2 linked regions of the Lepisosteus oculatus genome follow. The main gene of each other region encodes a partner of the protein of the gene in region 2 in a complex. Links are inferred from orthologs where the notes say so. Each region holds a gene or a part of one and is shown on either strand. Other genes may lie near its edges.

Region 1 (12,582 bases), on a different chromosome or scaffold from region 2:
ATTCTGGGCTTGTGCCGAATACAGATTAATCCGTACCCTCGCTTAGATCTCTCAGTTTACGATATTACTTCAATGTTTCAATCCGGTCACAAGGAAAGGGTTAACTGTTCCACACGCATGCACACACAAATTCCCCACGCAAGGCGATGCAGAACCTTTCTGTGTTTAGTCTGAGCCAGTGACCAGGATCTCTTGGCAGGTGGCTTCATGGGGCAATGCAGAGGGCGGTCGTCCGGAGATGGCCTGCAGGGCTGCGTCTTACTCTCAGGGGGTGCAGGAGGTCTGTTATCTGTGGAAGCTCCCTGCTGGCTCTCAGCCTTCAGGACCCGGAGGAGCTCGATCTGGGTACCGGGGGTCCCCTGCGCTAAGCCAAAGTCCACCAGAGCATACCTGCAGGTGTTGGGGAGAAACAGGAACGCTATTCATCTCCCGATACCTGACGCCACACGTCATCTAGACCAGCGGGTACGAATCCGCCAAGCAAGTCCTGCTGGTTCCTATGGTTTCCACTCCCCCTGGTCTGTTTACGAAGCGAATGTAAAAATATTTTTTTTTTCCTGGCTCCCAAACAATAAAAAAAACAAACCCTGTGAGGCATCAGGGACTGTATGTTCTATAGGCAGCGTCTCTGTCCTCTGATACAGACCAGGGCCCACCAGGGCCTCGGTCCAATCAAAACAGACCAGCTCGCCAACAACAGATTAAAACCCCAGTTCCTAATGGCAGATTTCCATCGGGTATAAGGCAGAAGCTTCTGGAAAACAAAAGGCTGCCACCAAGTGCTGGCATTGTAGATCTGAGACTGGCAGATGGCTCTAAGCTGGATCTTATGACTTATGGCAGAAGTTATTGACCTCGACGTGATTGACCTCAATCCAAAAAGTGGTTCTCCTTTAAAACGAACAAATCAAACGCTTAAAACCTGGGACTTAAACGGGCCTGAAGCACTTAAGTGCAGCAAATTTCCTGTAAAGCACTGCATATGCCATTCACATCCAACCGCATGATGTGTACTTATACAAAGGCCACTAGAGCCATTCAGTTTATAGTGCTCGTTTCAGATGTTATTAATTCAACATTTGCTACATGTCAACTGCAAACTAGCAGCGCTGTTTGAAACTGAGTCTCTATAATAATTCTCTCAAGGATGAACTTAACACACTTATCACACACACACACAGAAGTTGAGTCTGCGCGAGTGACCAGGATGGGTCACCAGGTGGACAAGGCAGGAGATGCACAGGGGGGCTGTCTGCCGGCTGCCTGCAGTGTTGCCTGTTATTCCCTGACACTCCCACAGGAGAACTTTGCACAACCCCAGGGTTACAAACGACCGACAGAGCGGACGAGATGGGCAGAGTTAGCTCGGTTTGGGCACAGTCTGCGTTCCGCTACCGCGCGGCTCAGGGAGGAGACGGCACGTACTTCTGCTGCTGGCGGCTGTACAGGAAGTTACTGGGCTTGATGTCACGGTGAATGATGCCGAAGCTGTGGATGTGCCGGAGGGCTTTGAGCAAGTGAAACATGTACCGCCGCACCTCTCCAAAACCCATCGAGCTCACGATGTCCTGCAAAAGGCACGAGAAGAAAAGCGTGCGTTCATGAAAGTGGTTTCTGAAACAAAAAAAAAGGTCCGTTGATATTCCGGTGAGCGACTTACCACGAAGGATTCATGCTGCAGGTAAGGCATGACGATAACCACGTGGTCGTCCTTTCGAAAGCAGTACGTCACCCCAATGACATTTTCTTTTCCGCTAGAATGAGAAGGTTTAAAAACCCCCGTGAGCATCTTCCCAACAGCCATACAGACTCACACTTCGGCTTCTCCTCCTGCTCATGGTGCAAGAAGGATGAGTGAGATCACACAGTGCAGCCAAGGCTGTTGGGTTTCCTACAAACCCCACCTGAAGATGTGGAGCTGCTCAAGTACGGCAAGAAACAAAACCACAGACGGACTTCATGCAGGCTGGTGCATGATCCCTGCTGGGGCTTTAGAAACTGCATGCGTCAGATCAAAAAGAAAAATGCTCTAGAAAGGCACTGAACTCTTAATCAATATTAAGCTGTGGGCGTTTCATTTGACATCAAAACCCTGGCATGGGCCAGTTGTTAGCAAAAAAACACATCTTAAAAATCAGCAAATGCACGTGCTGCACAGTGACATGTAGGCCTATGGCTTAAGAGTATCAGCAAAATACTGGAGAATGCTCTCGTCAAGTCTGGATGACATGAAGCAGTCTTAACACCCTTTAATGACTTACTCCTGGAAATATCTGCAAAGCTTAACGATCTGTACCATGCACTGATTAAGAACAGTTCAGTTTAAGTATGCGTCTGCATTTAATATTCCATAGTAATAATACAGTTAGGGCAGAACAGCGGAAGGCCATTCTCCATTCCTTTAAAGAGCAAAGGAGAGACAAAAACTGGGTTTATTGAAATAATGAGCACATGGGACATCTGGAAAAGTCACAAGCTCTTCTGTTTTCCCCCCTCGTTTTGTGGGAACTTTTAATCAAAAGAAACAAAATATATTGCAGACTTCCAAATGATCTGAAGTCTCAACTGTATGAAACTTAATCAGACTGCTGTTTTATAGCCTAAGGTCTTTCCATTACTGATCAACACTGCTCAAAAGCCGTCCCCAGCCAGATCTATAATAACAACACACAGCAGAGCAGATGAAAACTGTTTCTTCTTTGGAAGCCACTTCAAAACAACATGCTTTAACTTGTTTTTATCTCACTTGCAGTAAATTATTCAATGGGGCAGTAACGTAAAACTCTCGATTTTGCAGTAACTGCCCTTTTAAGATGCCTACCCCCCAAAACAATTTAAGAAACAAAATTGATGGTGCTTTACAGAGCTACTTTTGTATGCTCGCTCGCACAGCAATTACGAACCTCCTTAAAGAAAACCTGTTCACTGTGTTCAGGTCCATTAGGGAAGAAACCAGCCTCCAAAACATCTGGCAAACGTGCCAGGACGGCCTCACTCCTGCTGGCAAGCACACTCTGACCCCGATGTGCAGGGGCAAACACGTGCCGCTTTCATCAGCATAATTAAGGCACAGCAACCGAAGAGGAAACAAAACACACGGAAGGCCACCTGTATGTGAGAATTCTTTGTCATTTGGGAAAGTCACTGCAGTTGTGGGGACACACTGCACACCTTCCATGGTAACCTTGGGGGCAAGTCTCTCCGGCTCGGCCGGCCAGCTGCGGCTGCCTGCGCACCTCGAATTCAATTCCTTCCACCTCTGCTCTTAACGACCCGATTGGGCCCCTTGCGCGCGTTGCACAGACCAATTTGACACTTTTCAAACATCGTCAATCTGTCGACCCCGTTTAAAGGGATCTGGAAAACCGGCCGCGCCCGGGCCCCGAAGGGCTGGAGCAGCGCTCCCCTACCGGATGCGTAGCACGATTCCCTGCAACGAGACGGCTCAAGGGCACGCCCTTCCATCCAGTCCACTTCGCGGTTCTGCAGCCGCCAGGCCCTGCATTCTCTCTTAGTTAGCAGCGTCAACACAGAAAGGACCAGAGTGGCACACATCCCATGACTGCAGCAGTGCAGGTCGGGAGGACCAGAGGCTGAGAAGCCACGTTCCAACAGAGGCATGGGAAGACCCCAGACTTATAAATCACGACCAGAACTGCCGGAAAAATATCGACATCACCAGAAAGGGGAACGCCTGGCCCTCCAGTCAAACAGAGGCCTGCTTTTAAAGGCGAATAGGCCGATTTGTTTTTATTGCTCAGGTCCGCGTCAGCAGTGGCGGCGACGGGCAGAGGACTCACCCTGCCACAGTCAGGCACTGCAGCTCTGCTGCAATCCGGACCGGGTGGCTGGTCGGGATCAGGTGCTTCAAAGCAAACTTCTCTTTCGCGCCAGACGTCAACCGTGCCTCCGCCAGGTACACCGAGCTGAACGTACCTGTTAATCCCAAACACAAACACTTCTATGACACATCCGGCGTGCACAGACCCCACACACTGGCTCTGGCTGCCAAACCACAAGACTGCAGCTGCTCAGCTACAGCGCTCCAGCTTCTTAAGCTAAAGAATAAGTTCATTATATTAGAAAATGCTTAATGCAGTTCAGACCTTCACCAATTTTATCCAATATGACGAAGATTTTGGAGAGCTGGGGTATGGCTTCATACAAGCTTTCAATATCCGTTTTGATTTCTCCTGTAAAGAAAATAAACAAAAAACAACTTAAACCAAACAATATTTTGTCCAAACCAAATATATATATATAAAGGCAACTATAAGGTTTCAGAGTTACAAAACAAAGAGGTTACTTCAGAATTGAATGCACGTGTGGTTTCCCGTGTGCCAGTAAGCCACCCAGACCTCAGAAATCAATACATCAGAATAATCACAGCTTTGGAGGGAATGGGAGTCAGAAGACGACACCCCATGCCTGCACAGCCAGTACAGAGAGGAGCGCCCCACAACCACAACAGCTCAGCGCTGACTCGAGACTCACCTTGGCCACACGGGACGCTTTCTGGGTATCCACACCGTCAGTACACTGCTCAAATCCTTACAGCACCTGCACCACGCTTCCAGCATGCTGCGTCTGTCATATCATTGTACTGTACGCCCCCCTGCCCTCTGGTAGGGATTACAGGACCATAAAGGCACGAACCTCAAGATTCAGAGGCGGTTTCGTCCTGCAGGCTGTCAGATGACTGAACTCTACCGCTACCACTGGCTCACACTCATGTTTATTTCCTCTTCTCACGCTGCTTGTCTGACTTGTATTTAAGTTGTACCTTATTTAACTTTGTTGCTGCTGCTGCTGCTGTTCTGTGTTTAAGTCTCCCTATCAGAGCACACATGCAAATCAGCATTTCATTGCACTTGTTCAGCACATGACAAATAAACGGTGCTGAACATCACTACCCCATCCTGCTCTGCTGCACGTACAGTACCCATCCGTTACTTGTACAATGGAAGTGTCATACGTATTGCAACCTCGGTCCTGAGGACCTGGAGACAAATCCTTCAATGAAGCAACAGGTTGCCTGGCTGGAAAAACTTCAAGTTTATTTTTGGGGTCTATTCGAAGGCAGCAGCTCTCTCCCACTTACGCGAGATGTAGTTTCCAACGCGCCCCTCCGGCTTCATCTGTAAAGGAGCCGACTCCATCTCCAATAGACAGAAACCTGACGAACAACAGAAAGTCACTTTTTTTTTTTGGGGGGGGGGGGCAGGTTCAAATACGTACCCAATAACGCGCATAGACACACACACACACGTCAAGACCGATGAGGTTTTCTCCTTTTTACGCACTGTTCTCTTTGTCTCTGTCAAACGATCACGTCTGAGCATCGCAGAAGAGAACAAACCCGAGGTGTTTTCGGGCCGTCCGCTTGCAAGGACGATAAACCCCCCAGACAGCTTGCAGCGTGCGACCCCCGGGAGCCCGCAGACCATCGGGGGGGGAGGGCACGTGTGCCACTTGTTTAACATCACGGCTTGTGGCACAACGCTCAGCGGGAACTTTTATTGTCCAAGTGCCATCCCGGGGGGAACAGCAGGAACAGCGCCCGGATAGCCGGGGCGCACACGCAACTCGCAGGAAAGCCGATTCACGCCACCGCCGCCACGTCGCCTCACCCCGCAAACTTCAGGACGAGCTACAACATGAAGTTAGGAGGGGGGAGCGCACGACTCATCTCCGATCAGCCCCGGCAGGACTGCCCTGTAAACAAACCCCGGGAGGCGACCCGCAGAAACAGCAACGCGAATATAACCGCGCGTCTGTCAGGGTCGTGTTGACTAAAGAACCCCAGCACAAAAACTTCCGACAGCACATCCGCCGCTAACCCCGCTCATCTAGAGGCTCAAAGGCGTCCCCGTTACCTCAGTACGGGAGCGGAGAGCCCAGGCGCTGCTGCCGGCCGGCCGCGTCTCTCTTCCTCCTCCCGCAGACGAGCGACCCGCGCAAACGTGACGTCAGGGGGGAGGGCGGGGCCGCGCAGCGCGAGAGCGAGAGCTTCCGGCTCGCTCCAGGGCCGTGCGTCGGCACGCGATGCAACCGCACTACCCCTCGTCCCCCGCAGAGCAGCGGCCTCACGCCGAACCATTGCTCTTGTGCACGGACAGCTCTTTGCAATGCAAATGAAAGACACACAAGGCTGCTGTTGTTGATGAGATATATATATATATTCTACCAAAACTTCTGTAAATTTGTCATGCCCGTAGACACTGAATCGAACTGCATGATCGACCCTTTCTCTTGCCCGTCTGTTTGCTGCACGAAGCCCACCATCCAGTTCCTCCAGTCTGATGTGATGCCGTTGTTGTTTGTTGCATCCCAAGTGTCTAGCGACTGGATTCTAGCTAGCGCTTTCCCAGGTGAGTATGTGAGGCTGGATAAGTGGGCGACGGGATAATCCTTAATTATCACATGATCTGCAGCAGCTGTGATAATAAAGCACTAGTTCAGTAATAGAGGTCATAGGCTTGTAATGGACTGGAAAGGCTGGCCTTTCCTGATGCCATGTGTTCGAGAGACCTGTAGCTCCTGAAGGCAGGGTTTTGGGCACTGATATACATGACAGGGTGTCCAGTCCTGGTCCTGGAGGGACAGTGTGTCCGCTGGTCTTCTAGGTCTCTTCAATGCTGCAGCATTCCAGACCTGGGGACAGTTGTTAAATGGGACCAGTTCACCCAGTCACCAGCAGGTGCAGCTCATTAAGAGCTGAGCTGGAGTGAAGACCCACAGACACACCAGCCCGCTGGGACCAAGACAGGACTCTGCTGCTCTATAAGGACAAACCTGATGTGAAAAGGAACTTGCGTCTGCACTTTCCTGCACATTAAAAACATACATGACTCTGTTTATTAACAACATGCATTTTTTTGCATATGGTTGGCTCAGCACAAATACTGTCCTTAATGTGTAATTTAAAAAGGGTAAATATCTCACTTAAAAGCACTGTTATAAACTTGCTAGTTATGAAACTAAGGGAATGATGACTTTCGTTCATTGTAAGGTGTGACTAAGCTGTGCATGACGAGGGTGCTATGAAATATTGTCACCAATGGGTCACCACTTGAAAAGATGTTATCTTCAGCCGAAGGTGACAAACCTTCAGAGGAACACTGAACGCTTGTGGGGAAGGGAATAATCCTCCATTCTGGCTCCCTAAGGTGTGCTTACAGGGCATGGTTGACATCACTGTTTCCTCTCATCTGTTCATACAGATTACTCTCAAGATTGTTGCTGTCATTGGCTCTGTGTGCCCTCACCAGCCTCCCTATTTGTCTCTAAAATGTATATAAACTTAAAATTAAACACGAAGAAACCACAAGAGTTCAACAAGAGAGCACATCATATATTTGATAAAATAATCAAAATCTCAATGTGTTCATTTGAATTATTAACAATTAACAATACATTTAAAATCAGATTTATAAACAATCAAATCAAAGAAATACAATAACTTACAACATTTCTACTAGCATCTGAACAGACTTTTGGGGAGTACTAAAATATTCCATCAAATATTCCAAGAAAAGCACTAACTTCTGTGGCGCTGTCTTCCCTCTCAAATCTGGAACACAATGTGACAGTAAGGTTTGTAATATTTTTATGTTCAGATTTTCTCTCAGTGACCAAATAACCTGTTCATATTTAACTATTCTGTGAGTAATTATTTACATTCAAAAGCGTAACAAGTTTGAGTGTATTTCTTTCACAGTAATTGTGATTATCCTGAAGTAATTGAATGTGAACTCAAATCCTAAATGCAAATTTAACCACAAGATTAAAGAAGCTATGAGTTTCAGGCAGTGCTATCCGAATACACACATAAATGTGAATTTCCAATTAAAGTCTGTTTCAGAAATCAACAGTAATAACAGGTGCAGAGTATTAACATACTGCAAGATCTCCCACAGAGTGACTTACTGTACCTGCCACTGCCTTCTGATACTGCGCTTGCAGCATGCAAATGGGAGAAAAAATCAAATTTTCCCAAAACTGCTGATGAGTTTGTTACATTCCGTCTGGGGCATGAAAGCACCATCCTGTTCTCACTCTGCTCAGTATGAATCTTCTGAAGAGAAACCAAAAAAATAACTCAGCAGTCATGAGGCAGGATTCGAGACAAATGCTTGTTTATCAGTCTGAAATAATACTGATTGGATATTTTCCAAACTGCTTTGGAGTGTGGCATTATCCTTGCCCACACTACCTTCTAAAGTAAAGACGCTGAGGAAGAAACACTGAGGTATTTAATCATATTGAGATGCATGTATAGCAGTAATAGTGCCCATGGAAAAGACTTAAGTGAAGTTCAGCTGCAGATCTTCTAGAAATATGTCTGCAATGGTAAAAATATTAGATCTGTCAATCTCACCACTCAGCCTTTTTACTGCCTATTTTATTTCTGTCAAGAGCTGAAAGCAAAGAGATGAGGAAGGTGTTTTTGACATCTGGTTAACTTTTGATAAGGATTTCTCCTGTATACCTGTATAATTTAATACATTTTCTGTGACATTACATTGTGCTACAGAAAACTTTGCAGCTGTGCACTGTAGAATGAATGGAAATTCTGTTAATCTAAATTCAGGACTAGGAGCTACATAAATGAAATGGGGAATACTACACATTTAAAGAAAGCAGAGATATGCAAGCTTAGCTTTTACTGCACTTACAGGTTTTGCATCTGAGAAGCTCCTGGACTGTGATGACTGATCATCTGATGTGCAGGTAAGTGCAGGTGTGCACTTAGACACCTGCGGTATAATGTCATTATATGTAGTTCTAAAAAAATACAACATAAAGAAATAAATACATGCATATTCCGACTGAAAATGTGTGCAAATAACAGGATGCTTTATAATATTATAATAGCAAAAGTAGTGTCAATCTAACATACTTATTAAAATATTTACAATGTAAACATATGAGGAAAGTAGTATAATTACTTTTTATCGAATTTACTTACCCTTTACATTCTTTGAATGATGTAGTCTGCCCTATCTTGGAGTACAAAGATGCTGAAAACGCTGTAATAAAACATTAGCTTTAATAGTGCTTTTCTCAGAAATGTTGGTACTTGTATGAAAAACAGATTTCATGATATACACTGGAATCTATAGACAGTAAAGACAATAAATACCAGAATGACTGCAAAGGAAAAGCAAAACAATAAAGTATAGTTATAACAGGACAATCAGTTAACGTAACTATAATATGGTTTAATAGTTTACTGTGAAAAACTCAAGCTCATTAGGCAGTGGTAGAATGTTAGACTTGTGTTCTATTCCCTGAGGATCTCATCCAGCCATTTCTTATAAGAAGCCAGAGAGCCTTCTTCATCTACAGGGCTGGGTGGTTTGCTCCATACCCTCGCTACCCTTTGCATAAGGAAGTGTCTCTTGTTCTCGGTTCATGTTTCACTGCTACTGATGAAGAAGCCCATTGGATTGAGTTTGCCACTGCCCTTGATCAAGGGCAGGCAAGTTGGAAGAGCAAGAGATCAACAAGCCAAATAGAAAAACTGTACACAGTATGCTGAATGTGATCTTACTAGTGCATTGTACAATATTAACATCACATCCCTTGATTTACATTCTGTGCTTTTAACCATTCAGCCTAAAAGTTATTTTTCCCTTTTTCATTGCTTCCTTGAGTTGTCTGGAATGTGTAAACAACGTGTTAACATAACTGCTAGGATATTTTCATCACTATCCCTGAGGAGCTCTTGTCTTTATAATTAATGTTTTACTACCTGCATGCAACACCCTCCAACTGTCTGTGTTAAACATCATCTGCCCGGTGCTTGTTCAATCAATCTCAAATTGAATCTAAATCTTTTCGAATGTCATCTGCTGCATCTATGGTTTTTCGAAACCTCCTATTTTTGGTATCATTTGAAAACTTGACAGGTTTACCAACTATAGCAGAATCTAGGTCACTGATACAGCTTAGGATGAGCATTTGGTCTTTATTTGGTCTGCCAAGGTCCTAATCAATGTTCATAAGAATAGATGAAATACACCGGTATTTGTGACAAATTCTTCTGGCTTGTATAGTTTTAAATACCTATATTTCCCACTTAATTCCATAAGTAAAACAATTTCTCACTTCTATGTAATCTGATCTATATAAATGCAAGGAATTATTATTTAATATTACTGTACTTTAAAAGCAGTACAGTATTAAAACTGACATCACAGAGCAGGAAAATTCTTGTTAAAATGTATACCTGTTGCTTTCTTCAATCCTGGCCGTGGTATCTGTGCATCAGAAAGCTCACTGACTTGTACCAGATTCTCATCGTCAATATCACTCCAGTCATCCACTCCAAGATCGAATGTCACACGCATAGCTTCTGAGAAGCATCCACTTTCATCTGCGTCTCTTACCCTCTGATTCTCAGAGTAACCTGTGTTGTTTTGTGGAGTGTTGACTTTACTTCCAGTATCAGACTGCTTCCACACCGAAAAATCTGAAATTTGAAAAAAGCTGCACTGTTTTGATAATTGAATTACGTATAGTGCACATATAACAGTAATCAGAATGAGTTGTACAATAATACAACACAATTTTGACCACTGATACACATTCTTGGTGTTTTTTCCTAACACACAGATTGACATTAATTTAATGAGTAATAGGAGCAATTAGTGTTTTGACAGCAATAATAAACACCTATATATTTTCTTTTTAGTTTATAGCACTGAACAGTTTGCTTTTTAAGTATTTACTTGCGTTTTTCGCTTCCTCAGTATTTTGACTGAGAAGTTCCTCATCTGGCTCTGGGACGATCCAGCTGTGAGTGTTGGCAGTGTAACATCCCGTGTCATAGTCTGATTCAGTGCAAGAAGTCATTGCAAAATCATTAATCTCATTGCTCTACAGCAGTCTAGACACTGCAGATCAATATTTTCATGAGGAATGTCAGTACATAAAATAAGAAATGTACAGAAAGCTTTATGAACTTAAACTCCTAAACTGGCAACACAGACATTAATAATTCATATTATTTCATTATATTCTGAGCATCATGAGTAACATGTCACTATTCATATACACTATAGAAAAAAGGTAGTGTATATGAATGTACTGTATATGAATATTGGACACTGGCATCATTTTGATTAATGGATTCTTGATCACTAGCTGTGATACATAAAAATGACTTTGTAGCATTGAATCACTGAATCGCCTCATCAGAGATGACTGAACACAGATGATGAGGTCAATCAACCTGATGAGTGTCTAGCCTGGTGAATAGAACACAACACCTCTGGGCCTTCTGTATGTTGAATGCTGGACAGAATCCATGTACTTTTGCTCACCTGCTGTGCCTGCTTTCTTTAGACTCTGAAGAGCACAAGAGATTGTGACACAGCCCCATATGGTACTGTCACAGCAGGTACCCTCATGATCAATCCTGTTGATGTCAAATCTTATCCACTTCTAGCATTTACTTATAGATAGTAAATAAAATGTATGTGTGCCTACAGCAGAAAAGATTCTGTCATTTATACTGTATGATATCTTTTATCAGAAAGTGATGTTTCTTGTGATGCTCAGTTTATAACAATACTTTTGTGCACACGGATTGACAATTGAAGAACACATTTGTAATCTGTATTCTTCAGAAATATGATAATTTTTTCAGGTGTTCAATCACGCCATTTATCATTCTAACTTTACACTTCTAATAGTATAATCAGGAATTTTAAAACTAATAATGGACAATACACCGCAAATATTTCTTACATGCTACACATTTAGCATATTAAAGCAACTCGGGCAGGAAAAAAAATTATAGTAGTCTATAATAATAAGAATCTGGATGAAACATTAGCCATCAAGCTTCCAATATTTCTGCAAATGCTGATAGTAAACACAAGAGCACATTCTGCTATGGCAGCTTTAATATGATTGTTTAGTAAACTGGGTGAAATTGATTGCTATGCAGCTTCAATTGCAAAGCTTAGTGTATAGAGTTACACTCCTTATGCAGTACATACCTCTTTCACAGCACTGCTGCTCTCCCCTTTGTTGCGATGTTGTGAAACTATCAAAAGATTCCAGAGCCTCCACCTTTGTTGGCATAAAAGCTTGGTTCCTCTCACACCTTCTGTTAGAGTATAAGCACAGCATGTTCACTTGGAGAAGTAATCTTTAAACTTGTTTTTATTTGATGCTGCTGTATTTAAATAAAATCTAAAGGATTATTTAAAAAAAATAAAACCTTGAGTAGTATGTTGAGCAGTAATGTTTCAATATAAATCTACATGAGTGCAGTAAATGCATTGTTAATACATTTCCCCAAATGGGACAATAAAGCTTGCATTGAATTTGAATTGACCACTTTTTAGAAACAGCAGCAAAAGCAGTGTTTCTAAAGTCATGTCTGCTGCTTCAAATAATGTTTACAGAGATGTGTGTCAGAAGACTTTGTGATGCTGTATGAGTTGTAGCTCATCCCAAATCACATGAAACAACTTTGATTGTATTGTATGTATAGTTCTAGCATGAAATCAACAGTGTTAAATGCAGGCAGATACTGTACCTTGAACCAGTCGGCATTCCATCATT
Region 2 (12,275 bases):
GCAAAAATGGTGTCACTGTCCAAAAACTTATGGACTGCACTGTAGAAACATTTTTCTGATCATGTAAAAGAAATGAGTCAAAACGTACAGCCGACACAACTAAGCAGCAATCCTAAAGATGAATCCTAAGCAGCAACTAAGGATTTTATTAGGGAAAAAAATATTTAATTGACCAAGTAAAACTTCTAGATTTTAACTCTGCGATTCTCCATATATGTATTACAACAAAGTGGTGTTCAACCCTGTGATCACATTATCTAATCTATGCAATTAATTAACCACAAATAGTACCAAATGCAATGAAATAACCAAAAAATAAAACCAATATTATATTGTACTTATTCACAATAATCTCACGATCACATATATAGTACAGATTACCCGACTGTAAAGCAAAATAAATTTTGTCTCAATACTTCTAGAGGGCAGCACACACTCGAGTAAAAGCAATAATAATACTCTTGACACTTAATTTTTTATAACTACCACATATCAGCAATATTGAATTCAATTAATTTTTTATATAATTCCACTAATCCATGTATCTCTACCTTAATTTCTAACATTTGGTATGGCCTGCAATTTTAACATAACTAAGGAATATTCGAACACTGAAATCAAAGCAATTTTTTTCTTACCGGCTTTGATCTTCCACTTTTAGAAAAGGTTTTTTGAGATTCCCAACTGAAAGAAAAATATCACAAGCTGAACTAAAACAAAAGCATTACACTAACAAGAAAAATCAAAATATACATTATAAGAGACCATGTAAAATGAGAGCTGTCTTGCATTGAAAGGGAAAGCTGTACATTATACTACATGTACACCTAACACCCTGCAATTTACAAGTAAATTAGAATAGCCTTTTAATCCTTTAAATATCAAACTTTAACAGTCAAAGTAATCTAAAAATATTTAAGCAACAAATACATCAGAAATTGCCATCATGCTTTTGTTATTGTTTCTGCGATATTAAGCAGTCTAATCTATTTACCTTTAAGTAAATAATTTTCAGCTTATCCATATCGATCATTTTTAAGATGACATTTTAAAATTAGGAGATGATGTGTTCATTACTTATTTTTCTTTTAGATCAGTATTACAAAAGTAACTTAAACTGAAAAATGGGGGTTTAAGACTAAAACCTAGGTTAGTCAAGTTGCTAAAATTATCAAGAATCTGTAGTTCAGAAATGATACTGAATTTACCTTCATTTTTTTTAACGGAGGTTTTGGCATTTGTAGCGTTGCTGACCTTTTAAAAATGAGAGAAAAGGAATTAATGCTTAAACACATTCTCCTGCCTTCAATCCAGTTTATTAATTTTCATTTGAAGTTCTGTTCTTTTTTATTATTAAGTTTACTTAAGTAATCTACAATGAAACAATGACATTCACCAACCCCTTTAATCTACAATGTTATAAAAACCAAATGTTTCACAGGAAGAAGAGACACTTACTGTCTTTTTTGCCTTTGAAGTGTGTAAATTAGGTTGGTCAGTAGGTAGATCCTTCTTCTTTTTTTCAATATAAGACAATATATCTGATATTGCAGTCAAGGAGTAATAGTAGGCTCATATTAGCATTTATCTTTCCTACTACACATTTGAAAAACAGAAACCAAACCTCACAAAGCACTTAGTGATGGCCACTTAACACTGTAAGCATTTATTTAGATGTAATGGTGGCCAACTGAAACAAAACTAAAGATTAAAGATTACAGATTACATTTCAATCATTTATAATTTCCTAAATATTGTAGAAACTAAAGCAGATGATTAGTTAAATTAAGTACTTTAAAGCTCATATGAAATGAAACATAATAACATAATTGTTCAATAATGTATGTAATAAATCTTTTGAAACTAATTTCTTAATGGTGACCCACAAAGCTTTGTTGGCTGGATTGTGGCCCTCTAGGACATGCAACAAACACAAAAGTAGAATTGTACTTTTGAATATGCAATAAAAAAAACAACCAATATATAGCACTTTTAAAGGATACCATCAATATACAGTATCTTGACGCCCCAGTCCAAAGCATTTGACAAGATTCTGTTGGTCTGAATTAGTTCCTGGAAAAATGAAAACGGTTTAATTGCAAGAAAAATACTATTTGCTTGGAATTCTATTTTAAATTCTTCAAAGTTTATAAGAAAAACTAGTTAATAAGGAACATTCCCAAATAAGTCTTACATCCAAATAAAACATACTACTTAGTTACATTAAAAGAATGTTTTCATACTTTTTTTAGCACAAAACTTATATGGCACTGATCACCCTCATATGATATGTACCATGTAAAATATATAAAATGAAAATTATTTCAACATTTTCAGCAGCAAATGTTCTGAAATGTAGAAACACTCTCCCAGAACATATCAACATTCTATATAAAATCCTGCTTACAGTAGATGGAGACACTTGACAGAATATTTACCTGTTCCTTGACAACTTTTTCCACCAGTGATTTCCCTCTGCTTTTTATTGCCTGCACACAAAAAGGGCATTGTAACTATACAATCACAGAAATGCTAAGAGGAATGAAAAAAAATGTTAGGAAAAGTTCATAACAAACTCACGTCTGCAGCATCCTGCGAGCTTACTTTACAGCTTCCTCTTCGGCTGCTGAGGCAAGGCGAGCTGTTCCCAGTGGTATTGGGAGAGCCAGGGCTTGATAAAGGAGAATTTCTTCCAACTGATTTCACAAATTTTGCCTCTTTCTTATTGGAAACAAGATATCGAATGTCCTTGCTGAAGAACCTCTCAATGGTCTAAAATGAAATAAATCTGTTATACATGTAATGTAGACTTAATAAGAGCAGCATTACCACTTTAAAGCCCAATTTCATGTCTGCTTCCTTACTCAGTTTGTTATAACTGCTAGAGGGAATCAAGTCTTTCTAAGCAACCAGGATAGAGGAAAACTGAAGTGAGAGAACCATTAGGGAATTATGATAATGTGGCAAGAAATCCATTCAGACACATATCAGGTTCAAAGAAATGCCAGGCAAAAATAAATAGTTTTAGCCTCGAAAACAGAAATCTCACTCTTCATTCAAAACCCTCACAGATAACATAGATCCTACGGCCACTGGCAGAATCAACAGTGCGAATAGGAAAATACAAGTGGTAAGTAAGGGGAAGTACATTTAAAACCAGACTGTCACAACATTTTTATATATAAAGTGTTGTGACAGTCTGGAAAAATCTATCTTGTCAGACTTGGTTACTAAACCAAAACCTTTGCATCTTTCAAAAAACAACAAACAGCCTCCACATATGCAAACATGCTTGTGCCGTTATCATTTCTAATTAACTTCTTCAGTTTTCAAGACAAATACTTCCAAAGTTATAATAACTGTGGTCCTAAAGGTTTAGGTTTGTTCAGTCACAAAAGTAATAACTTTGAAAGTGGTAGAACAATAACAGCTTAGATCCATTGTTAAATCTGAATAATGCTTAATATTCCATATTTATACACACGTGGATACACAAAATACAAACAGTAAAATGCAAAAATATTCATATTTGTACTTAAAAATATCTTACCCCACCAAGCTTTTGAATGTCTTTCTCCAAGGCCTCAGTGGTCTTACTGAATGGCAGATCTAGATAAAATAGTTTTCCAGCCAGAGGTTTGGTTTTCAGTCCTGAAGACCCATTTGCTGTTTGCAGCACACTTTTTAATGTCACCTTGTTCTGCTCTGTTTTGTCAATCGATTTTGAGTCTGTTAAAGAATGGACACGATATCAGGGGTTTTTCAGGTTGCTCTTGCTCAAACAAAAACATAGGAGAGCAATTTTAAAGATTACACCCACATTTCCCAATAGTAGCAGAATAACAGCATGTCAGAGGGTAAGAAAAGTAGGTGAATGAAATGTAATGACCTGTTTAATACGCTTGCAAAGTTTCAAACATGCCAGATTGGGAAACGTTAGAAAATATTTTCCCATACATAAGAATACTTTTCACATTTCTCCATTTGCACTTTGAATTTGTGGGGATCATATATTTCATCATGCTTTAACAGACTTATAATACATTTTGGAGAATGTGTTTTTCTAATTTAATCAAATCCAACCTAGGACAGTAACAGATTCAAGTTACCATGCAGCTACATCCTTTCGAAAGAATAGCTCTGGGTGAGCATTAGGCTTCAATTTGACTCTACACTAAAAACAAATACTTAAACTTGTTACTCTATGTGTCATGTCTACTTATGTATATTTCTTCATATATTTTCTACAATAACTTGGCCAAAGTATTGATGCAATATCAAACAGTGTGTTTTGGTTAAGGCAAACAAGTTAAACAGAATACTTTCTGGTGATCTGCACAAAAATCTCAATATTCAATGACATTTTTCTCCATGGTATGTTTAAGAAACTAAAATACCTTGCAACTTGACATTAACATCCTGGGAGGTAACCCTATTTTTCATTTTCAGTATATATTACATTTGGGGGAGTAGGGACACCTTCTATAATGGCTTCTGTTGAAAGAAACATAGAAAAGACATCTAATAATGCACGCATTGTTTCAACACGAGTCGTGAGGATTTTATAAAGCAAATTATGATCCAGAAGTAAAGCAACATAGCTCATCGAAAAACATGAAAAACACCCTGCAAAAACATGTTGTTTAAAAAATTAATCAAACTACTGTGTTAATGTGCTTTTAAAAACTACACATATTTTAGAACAGTAGATCAGTTTAAAATTGCACATTGCATAAAATGCGTAGTCGTTACGAACGTACAGAAACACGTCTGCTTTTTTTAAAAAAAACTACCGACATTTAACTTGGAAGTAGACTGCTACTGTATGAGAGCAAACAACCGTGATAAGCCTGCTGAGAACGAACCGCATACTAACTCTTAATAGCCACGAATTATATCGAAATCAGATTCATAATGATTAATCTTGCCCACCCGAACAAAATACTTACCGTTATGAATGCTAAAGAATGAAACAATTCAAATTTTCCTTAACACAACTTTCTTCTTTCCCGCTTCGACTAGTTAGTATCCCAGAAACCTCTCTTTCAAACTATCTTCATTTTGGATTCCAGAGTTTCCGTCTCACTTTTTAAAATGCAATTTATGTTTTCTGTTCATTGCGATTACATAAGAGAACTTCTGACAAGTTAAATATAAAATAATTGTATTATTTTTAATTTTGTAAGAATTGTGATACGTAAAAAGTGTTATTTTTGTCGTTCATTTCTTCAAGGTTCGAAAAGTAAGGCATAATTTAAATGTCCGTGTTGTTGAATGTGCTGTGGCCAATGTGAGAATAGACTCATCGGCATAGGTCATGTGATCCAAGCATGTGTGCTGTGAGAACAGCATATGTAACACATAGGTCAGAGCCTTGGAGAGAATCCTGATGAGACATGTTGTATTGAAACCCTAACAGTTAGTTTACCTAAGTGTCTTTAATCTAATTTAATTAATGGTTTCGTTGCCTTTATGCTAACGATGAATAATTCAGATGTGGTACAGTGTCGATCTCGACATTTAACTGATGTGAAGAAAACAGCCAGGAAAAGAGCACAGCTGTACAGTTTGACAGTATCAGTTTTATTTTCTTGCCTTTGAAGAGTTAGCAAGGTAGGTTGTACGTATTGCACTCAGAAACATCAAATTTTTCCAGGGTGTTTTTCAAATAGTTTAAAAAACTTAATGGAGTTGAACTCGTTTAAGGGGAAAAACAATGCTTGTTTTATTCAATTAACAACAGTGGATTTAGAGAATGTCAAATATGCACATTCAGAACAGAGTGACATTGAATTTCACGTCTGAAGGAAAAAGCAGTACAGGTGTATGCCAGCTCGCAGTTTGTTTGTCTTTTGAGGATTGCCGTTGTATTCCTGATTAAGGACAAGATGAGTGGCCAGGGAACAGTGTCTGTGCTCAATGACATCACACCTGTCCAGCAAATGATAGCTTCCTCCTCAGGAGCGCTGCTTACTTCACTGTTTGGTAAGAAACTCTTTCATTATGTGCTAAGAGAAAATGAGTAATAGACTTCCTAATTATTGTTTTGTAGGAGTCTGGCATGAAAATGCTCGAACCAATGTGGGTTTATTACAGCTAAGCCAGAAAAAACAGACTGTGCCAAACATTAGCTTGGTTAATGTGGATAGCCAAAAAACATTAGAAACATTTTTGACATCAGAAAATACAGAATGTGATATATGTATTAAATCCTGTCTTACACATTAAGTACTTATTGTAAAACTTGACATCAACAGACAGCTGCCGAACTAAGTACAGCAAGCTGTAAAGCTTAGTTTGAATTCCTTCTGAGTCTTTCTAACTCTTATTTATTTCATTTTTCATTCTAGTTACACCCCTGGATGTGGTGAAAATTAGGCTTCAGGCACAAAGAAGTCCCTTTTGGAAAGGTAAATTTGTTAGCTTTTAAAAACAAAATTCATTATATTTTGAAAGGTAATTCTAATTCTATTTTGTTCCTTTCCTAGGAAAATGTTTTCTGTATTGCAATGGCCTTATGGACCACATTTGTGTGTGTGAAAATGGGAACTCCAAAGCCTGGTACAAGGCCCCTGGACATTTCACAGGCACTTTGGTAATCTGAATGTGTCTTGCTTCCCGTCGTGTTTGTGTAAGGTGTTACACTTATCGAGCGAAATCCCCATCGTCTTAATGAGAATTCACACTGTTGTGCTTAGCACTGCTTCTGTTTTCATTACCTGTAACTCCCTTAATGCTTTCTATACCTTTAGTCTTCTTCTAAATCAATAGGAGGTAGTCTCTTTTCTTAGTATCTGCACTTCAGTGTAAATTAACCAACTGATTCAGAACTGTCGAGAATGGTCTTAATTGAGCCAACTAATAATTAAATGATAGTAGTTCAAGTAGGTGGCTGCGTCAGCATGCGTAGGCTGCAAAGGAACAAGTAAAGGTTTATTCCATGCTGAAAAGAGAAGAAAAGAAACATAACGTTTCGGCTGTGGAGCCTTCTTCGGGTGCCGAAAAGGTTGTGTTTCTTTTCTTCTCTTTTCAGCATGGAATAAACCTTAATTGTTCCAATAATTGAATGGTTACAAGTAAATAAATGGCCAATGTTATAGCCTAAGCTAAGTTACGGAGAGCTAAGATGGAACAAAATCCAAAACATTTGGCTCAAAATGAAAGTGTTTCTTAAGGCTGTTCAGTGTTCTGTGTACTTTCTATTATAAAACTGTCATGTTTTGACGTGATTTTTTATTTTATTTTAGGATGCATTTATTAAAATCATTCAAAAAGAAGGAATAAAGTCATTATGGAGTGGGCTTCCTCCAACGCTGTAAGTTTGAAACAGTACAAGTGTATGCATACACAGATAGTTGGTGTATTTTGTATTTATAATGGCTAATAAAAAAAACTTGTGCTATACATTAGAATATCTCATACGTTAGTGTTACATTATACGGATTTGATACACCCTTAATGTACTGTATTGTGGAGTGAGACTATTCAGTACCTTACATATAGTCAGGAAAATTTAAAAAAACCTCAGGAAAATCTAAAGTTTGTTTTTAATGCCTCTCAGTATATATGTACATGTGCAAAATGCATCTAATGCTAGTTGACTTCTTCATGCAATTGTTTCGCAAAATAAAGATGGTGGAGTACTGAAATGTAAAATTAATTTAAAGGTCATTCTTGTCTTCTGCCATAAGACTGTACAACGCATACATTTTGCATCTGGGCAGAGGCAACATTGACATAACAATATATGCCAGGGACTTGTGCAATTTATATTTATATTTATATTGTGCAATTCAACTTTTGTATACTGTTCTGATTTGTTCTTTGTATGTTCTGGACTGTGAGTAACTCTTCTTAGTGCACTTCTCACTGACTGTGCTGATTGGATTGTATGTATTGTATTATTATTGTATCATTCGTTACACTGTGCTGTGTTGACTGTGTTAAGCTGTTGTTGCACTGCAATTTTTTGTCACGTGATCAGTGAAGTTTCTAATAAAAACCTGAGCATATTCCCATTCACACCAGAGGGCGCTGTATTGGCACACCATAACATCAATTTGCATTTATTAAGGCTTGTGTGTCTGGGCCAGTTAGTGCCCTCTGGTGTTTTTTTGTCATTGTCCAAATGCAATTTTTTTTTTCCAGAGTTATGGCTGTACCTGCTACTGTTATATATTTCACTTGCTATGACCAGCTCTGTGCTATTCTGAAGTACAGGATGGGCAGCGATTCTAATGAAGCACCACTGCTGGCAGGGGCTTTGGCTAGAGGTGAGGTGTTTCATTAAAAAGCAGCATCAGTACCTTTAGATCTTCTTTAAGGTGGTTAACAGGTGATTTAATCAAAGGGGTATAAAAGTATTAATGTTACCAATTAAAAATAAATGACTCTTTTAAAATAAATTGAATCTTTAACATAAGAAAACATTTTTTTCCTTCCATTTCTGTCCCCATACTGAATTTCTTCCCCCTTTCCTAAGATTAGAAGCAGATCGGCTTAAATTCTCTTTTGTGAAAGACACCAACAAAGCCGAAGACCAGATATTAATCTAAAAATAGAACTAGAGAATTGTGATTGTGTTGGCAAGAGATGTCTCTGACTACTAGGAGTATAAGACAGCATTCACTGAGCTTCCTTTTCCTCTCTTGGATTAATGAGTGCACTGTTAAAATGCTTTTTTTTACATATAGCAGACTAGGGACTCTTCCAGAGATGGGTGGCTTTATGATTAGGAGTGTTTAAATCTGATTGGATGTTTTTAACCCAGTTCTTGCTGATTTATAGTAAAATGGTGAGTTATTGAGCGAAATGTCTTTTTTTTTTGTTAGTGGGGTCTGTCACTGTGATCAGTCCGCTGGAGCTAATACGGACAAAGATGCAGTCCCAGAAGCTGTCGTATCGGGAGCTGAACACCTTTATCCGGACATCCGTGGCAGCTGATGGCTGGCTGTCTCTGTGGAGGGGCTTGGGCCCCACTCTACTCAGAGATGTGCCTTTCTCAGGTAGGTCAGCAAACAGGCTGTCTTATAACACCTCCAGGAGAATAAACACCTACAGTACAGCTGACTCCAGGAATCGGGGCCCCATAGCTGCTCTCCCATTTCTCATTTCATCGGGGATGTTAGTGGATGGTACATTGGTTCCACACATTGAATGGGTGTGAAAACATATGGGTGTGATTTCTTATACTTGTAACATTTTATTTTTCTGAGTTTTTGAGTTGTTTTAGTTGGTTCGTAAACTTCAATCATTTAATTTCAGAGGAGTTCTAGACAGAAAATGAAAGTCGATGGGATGGTCTGACGAAGATAAAAATGTTTGTTTGTTTTGTGTGCATGGGCCTGTTTTCCTATTAGTGTGGAGGCAAATCTCCACCAGCTTACCACTTTACAGATAAGCGAGGGGATACGAGGGGATAATGTAAAAGATGTTATCTTTATGGAAGCTGATATATTTTTAATCTAAAAGTGACTGAAATCTTTGGTTTGGGGCTGTTATTGCACGAATATGTTTATTTCCACAAGTCGTGGCTGTGAGTGCATTTAGCTGTGTTTTTACTGTCCACACAGCAATGTACTGGTATAACTATGAGCTTGGAAAGAAGTGGCTCTGTGAGAAGAATGATGCCAGAGAACCAACATTCATGATCACTTTCACCTCAGGAGCAGTGTCTGGGTCTGTAAGTAGACAGCTCATTGCTTTGAATTTCCTTAGTTTGATAAACCAGTCAGTCATATATTAGCTTATATTGGTGTCTGGGGTGTGAAAGATGTTTATGCAGAATCTCAGATGCGTAGCTCTAATAAGGAAAACCACTGCATGATTTTTTCCACCCCAAATTAATGTTGAACCAGTCTAATTCTTGAAGGACAACACTTCTCTGCAATAGAAATGACTTAACCACAATTTCATCTACTGGACAATGTTTTTTTTTTCAGCATGAGACAAGCAAATAAAATTATTTGATGTGAAAAGTTAAATTACATTTGTCAGAGCCAGTTTTTCCTGTTACCTGCATTGCATAAGTGGCTGTGTGCAGACAATATGTGATTCAATTTTTTTTTTTAACCTGGGTTATTTATTGGTGTAAAGGGCTGAAAGCACAATCCCTCCAAGCTGATTGGCGAAAGAGACAAATTGAGCTCTCATTACTCCGCAGCACTCTTGGATGTAACTCGTTGATGTGTGCAGTCTTGTGGTCGTGTCTATGAAACAAATCTCAAATTTTAGATAAATACTGGTTTGCAGTAACCAGAATGGCCAGTTACAATATAATAAAAGCCTTTAAAGTTTGTTTTTTTTCCTCGCTTCTCCAGATTGCTTCAATAATAACTTTACCGTTCGATGTGGTAAAGACACGGAGACAAATTGAACTTGGGGAGCTTGAAGCTTTGAACTGTAAGTATTAAGCGATAAACAGATTTGTTTCTGTATCGTTCCTTAATCTTGTTTTTCTCAGTGTAGTAAAACATAATGTATAATAATAATGATGTTTCTTTATTAGCCCTATACAATTTCTTGCATTAGGAATTCGTCTTTTCGCATACCCCAGCTTTTCTCCATGGAGACACAGACACACAGACAGGGAGAGAAGCTTGGGGTCAGAGCTCAGGGTCTGCCATTGTATGGCGCCCCTGGAGCAGTTAGGGTTAAGGGCCTTGCTCAGGGGCCCAATGGAGTAGGATTCCTCTGCCGGCCGCGGGATTTGAACTGGCAACCTTCCAGTAACAGGCGCAGATCCTTAGCCACAGAGCCACCGCTCCACCCAGTAGTGGCATGCTATTAAATGTGCAGAGGAATTTTTGATTCTGACAAAGTGATGAGTGACCTTTTCTCACAGACTGCATCTCTATGTTCTAGTATCTCCTCGGGCCTCGTCCTCCACCATGCACGTGATGAGAAGGATTGTGGCTGAAAATGGTGTTAGAGGATTATTCGCAGGTACCCCTGATTTAGTGTTCTGCGTTATTTCTCGGCTTTAATCTTTGTGTTAGATTTATGTCAACTGTAATGTCGTAAACATGTCTTCAGCTGGGCTCTTCTACAAAAAAAAAAGGTGCAGCCATTAAAATCATCACATTTAATCTCTTACACTTTCTCAAAGCATTGTAATAAAATAACAAGTAATAGGTTTACTCCCTGCTGAAAAGAGAAGAAGGAAACACGACGTTTCGGCCGTGGAGCCTTCTTCAGGTGTGGTTCAGTTGTGTTGACACCTGAAGAAGGCTCCACGGCTGAAACGTTGTTTTCTTTCTTCTCTTTTCAGCATGTAATAAACCTATTACTTGTTCCTTCACAGCCTATGCATGCAGATGCGGCTACCCACCTGAACTATTGTAATAAAATAGCTATTTAGATCTGTCTTTAGTTTCTCCCATCAGCAGATTTCATGCAACACCTCACAGCCACCACTAGATGGCAAACTATTACTGATGCCAAACAATCTGAAGGCCGAGCAAAAACAGAATATGTGCACAGTGATAATCCTAGCTGAACTTCTGAATTTGAACTTGAATTTATGAAGAAAACCCAGTTAATACTGTTGTATTATATGTTGTAAATAGTTAACTAATGTATGCATTCTGCTTTGTCTCTCAAATGATGCAGGATTCCTTCCCCGGTTGATCAAAGTGGCCCCAGCTTGTGCTATAATGATCAGCACTTATGAGTTTGGGAAGGCTTTCTTCCACAGGCGGAATCGAGAGAGACAGATGGTGGCACTTCAGAATGGGCCCTGAGCAAACAGCCTTACTCCAGTACTGTATATATGTGCCCATCACAGTTCCATAAAGTGCATATCTGGTTTTCAGATTCTGAATTGCATAATGAGACTGAGCATTTGCAGGTTTGGACAAAGATATTGCCTGTTCAAAACATTAACGTAATTATGCAGTTTTTTCAAAGTATGGATTGGTGTAAAGTAAAATAATTTCTGGGCTTTCAGGATGTCTTCAAGGCCCGCAAAATTCAATTTAGAAAGATCTAGATGTTAAATGTGTACACAGGCAATACATCTGGCTAAGTAAGATGAGGTATAAATATTTCATTCATAACCAAAACAAACTATATTGCATCAAATGTTGCTCACTGATCGAAAATATTGTAATATTCTGATTGCGTTTAATTATCATTGATCCTCCACAGAGCAAAACTAACCTCTAAAATAGTTTAAATTGCATTTTCAGTGTTAATTTAATCTTGTTTCCCAATAAAATATTTTTTTATTGACAACTGAAAGAAATATATTTCTATGTGGATGATTTATTTTCTAA

Evidence for each region.
Region 1: the proteins of dbf4 (region 2) and cdc7 are in contact, whole or in part, in a crystal structure (PDB 6YA8), measured with the Homo sapiens proteins. The link is inferred for Lepisosteus oculatus from reciprocal best matches to the Homo sapiens genes DBF4 and CDC7. Residues at the interface, in NP_006707.1 of Homo sapiens: Thr210, Arg211, Thr212, Gly213, Arg214, Leu215, Lys217, Pro218, Phe219, Val220, Lys221, Val222, Glu223, Asp224, Met225, Ser226, Gln227, Leu228, Tyr229, Arg230, Pro231, Phe232, Tyr233, Leu234, Leu236, Met239, Pro240, Ile242, Asn243, Tyr244; in NP_001127891.1 of Homo sapiens: Asn56, Val57, Phe58, Ala77, Gln78, Leu79, Gln80, Ile87, Ile93, Pro94, Thr95, Ser96, His97, Pro98, Ile99, Arg100, Ile101, Ala102, Leu105, Gln106, Thr109, Lys121, Tyr122, Cys123, Phe124, Arg125, Asn127, Asp128, Val130, Leu143.

Annotation. Positions count from the first base shown.
Region 1 is NC_090704.1:1,472,699-1,485,280, reverse strand, and holds the start of cdc7 (cell division cycle 7-related protein kinase), read right to left. Parts: upstream 6,040-12,582; 5' UTR 5,877-6,039; intron 5,177-5,876; 5' UTR 5,160-5,176; coding exon 5,102-5,159; intron 4,194-5,101; coding exon 4,107-4,193; intron 3,937-4,106; coding exon 3,801-3,936; intron 1,755-3,800; coding exon 1,661-1,754; intron 1,569-1,660; coding exon 1,426-1,568; intron 391-1,425; coding exon 156-390; intron 1-155. Other genes in the region: probable ATP-dependent DNA helicase HFM1, read right to left, coding at 7,507-7,573, 7,935-8,077, 8,679-8,787, 8,972-9,032, 10,235-10,477, 10,737-10,838, 12,012-12,121, 12,557-12,582. UniProt on the Homo sapiens protein: Kinase involved in initiation of DNA replication. Phosphorylates critical substrates that regulate the G1/S phase transition and initiation of DNA replication, such as MCM proteins and CLASPIN.
Region 2 is NC_090705.1:6,470,364-6,482,638, reverse strand, and holds the start of dbf4 (protein DBF4 homolog A), read right to left. Parts: upstream 5,058-12,275; 5' UTR 4,950-5,057; intron 4,495-4,949; 5' UTR 4,444-4,494; coding exon 4,398-4,443; intron 3,730-4,397; coding exon 3,551-3,729; intron 2,773-3,550; coding exon 2,581-2,772; intron 2,490-2,580; coding exon 2,439-2,489; intron 2,074-2,438; coding exon 2,004-2,073; intron 1,542-2,003; coding exon 1,459-1,541; intron 1,255-1,458; coding exon 1,209-1,254; intron 685-1,208; coding exon 639-684; intron 1-638. Other genes in the region: mitochondrial glutathione transporter SLC25A40, read left to right, coding at 5,889-5,985, 6,351-6,410, 6,489-6,595, 7,248-7,315, 8,149-8,273, 8,832-9,005, 9,573-9,682, 10,320-10,401 and 2 more. UniProt on the Homo sapiens protein: Regulatory subunit for CDC7 which activates its kinase activity thereby playing a central role in DNA replication and cell proliferation. Required for progression of S phase.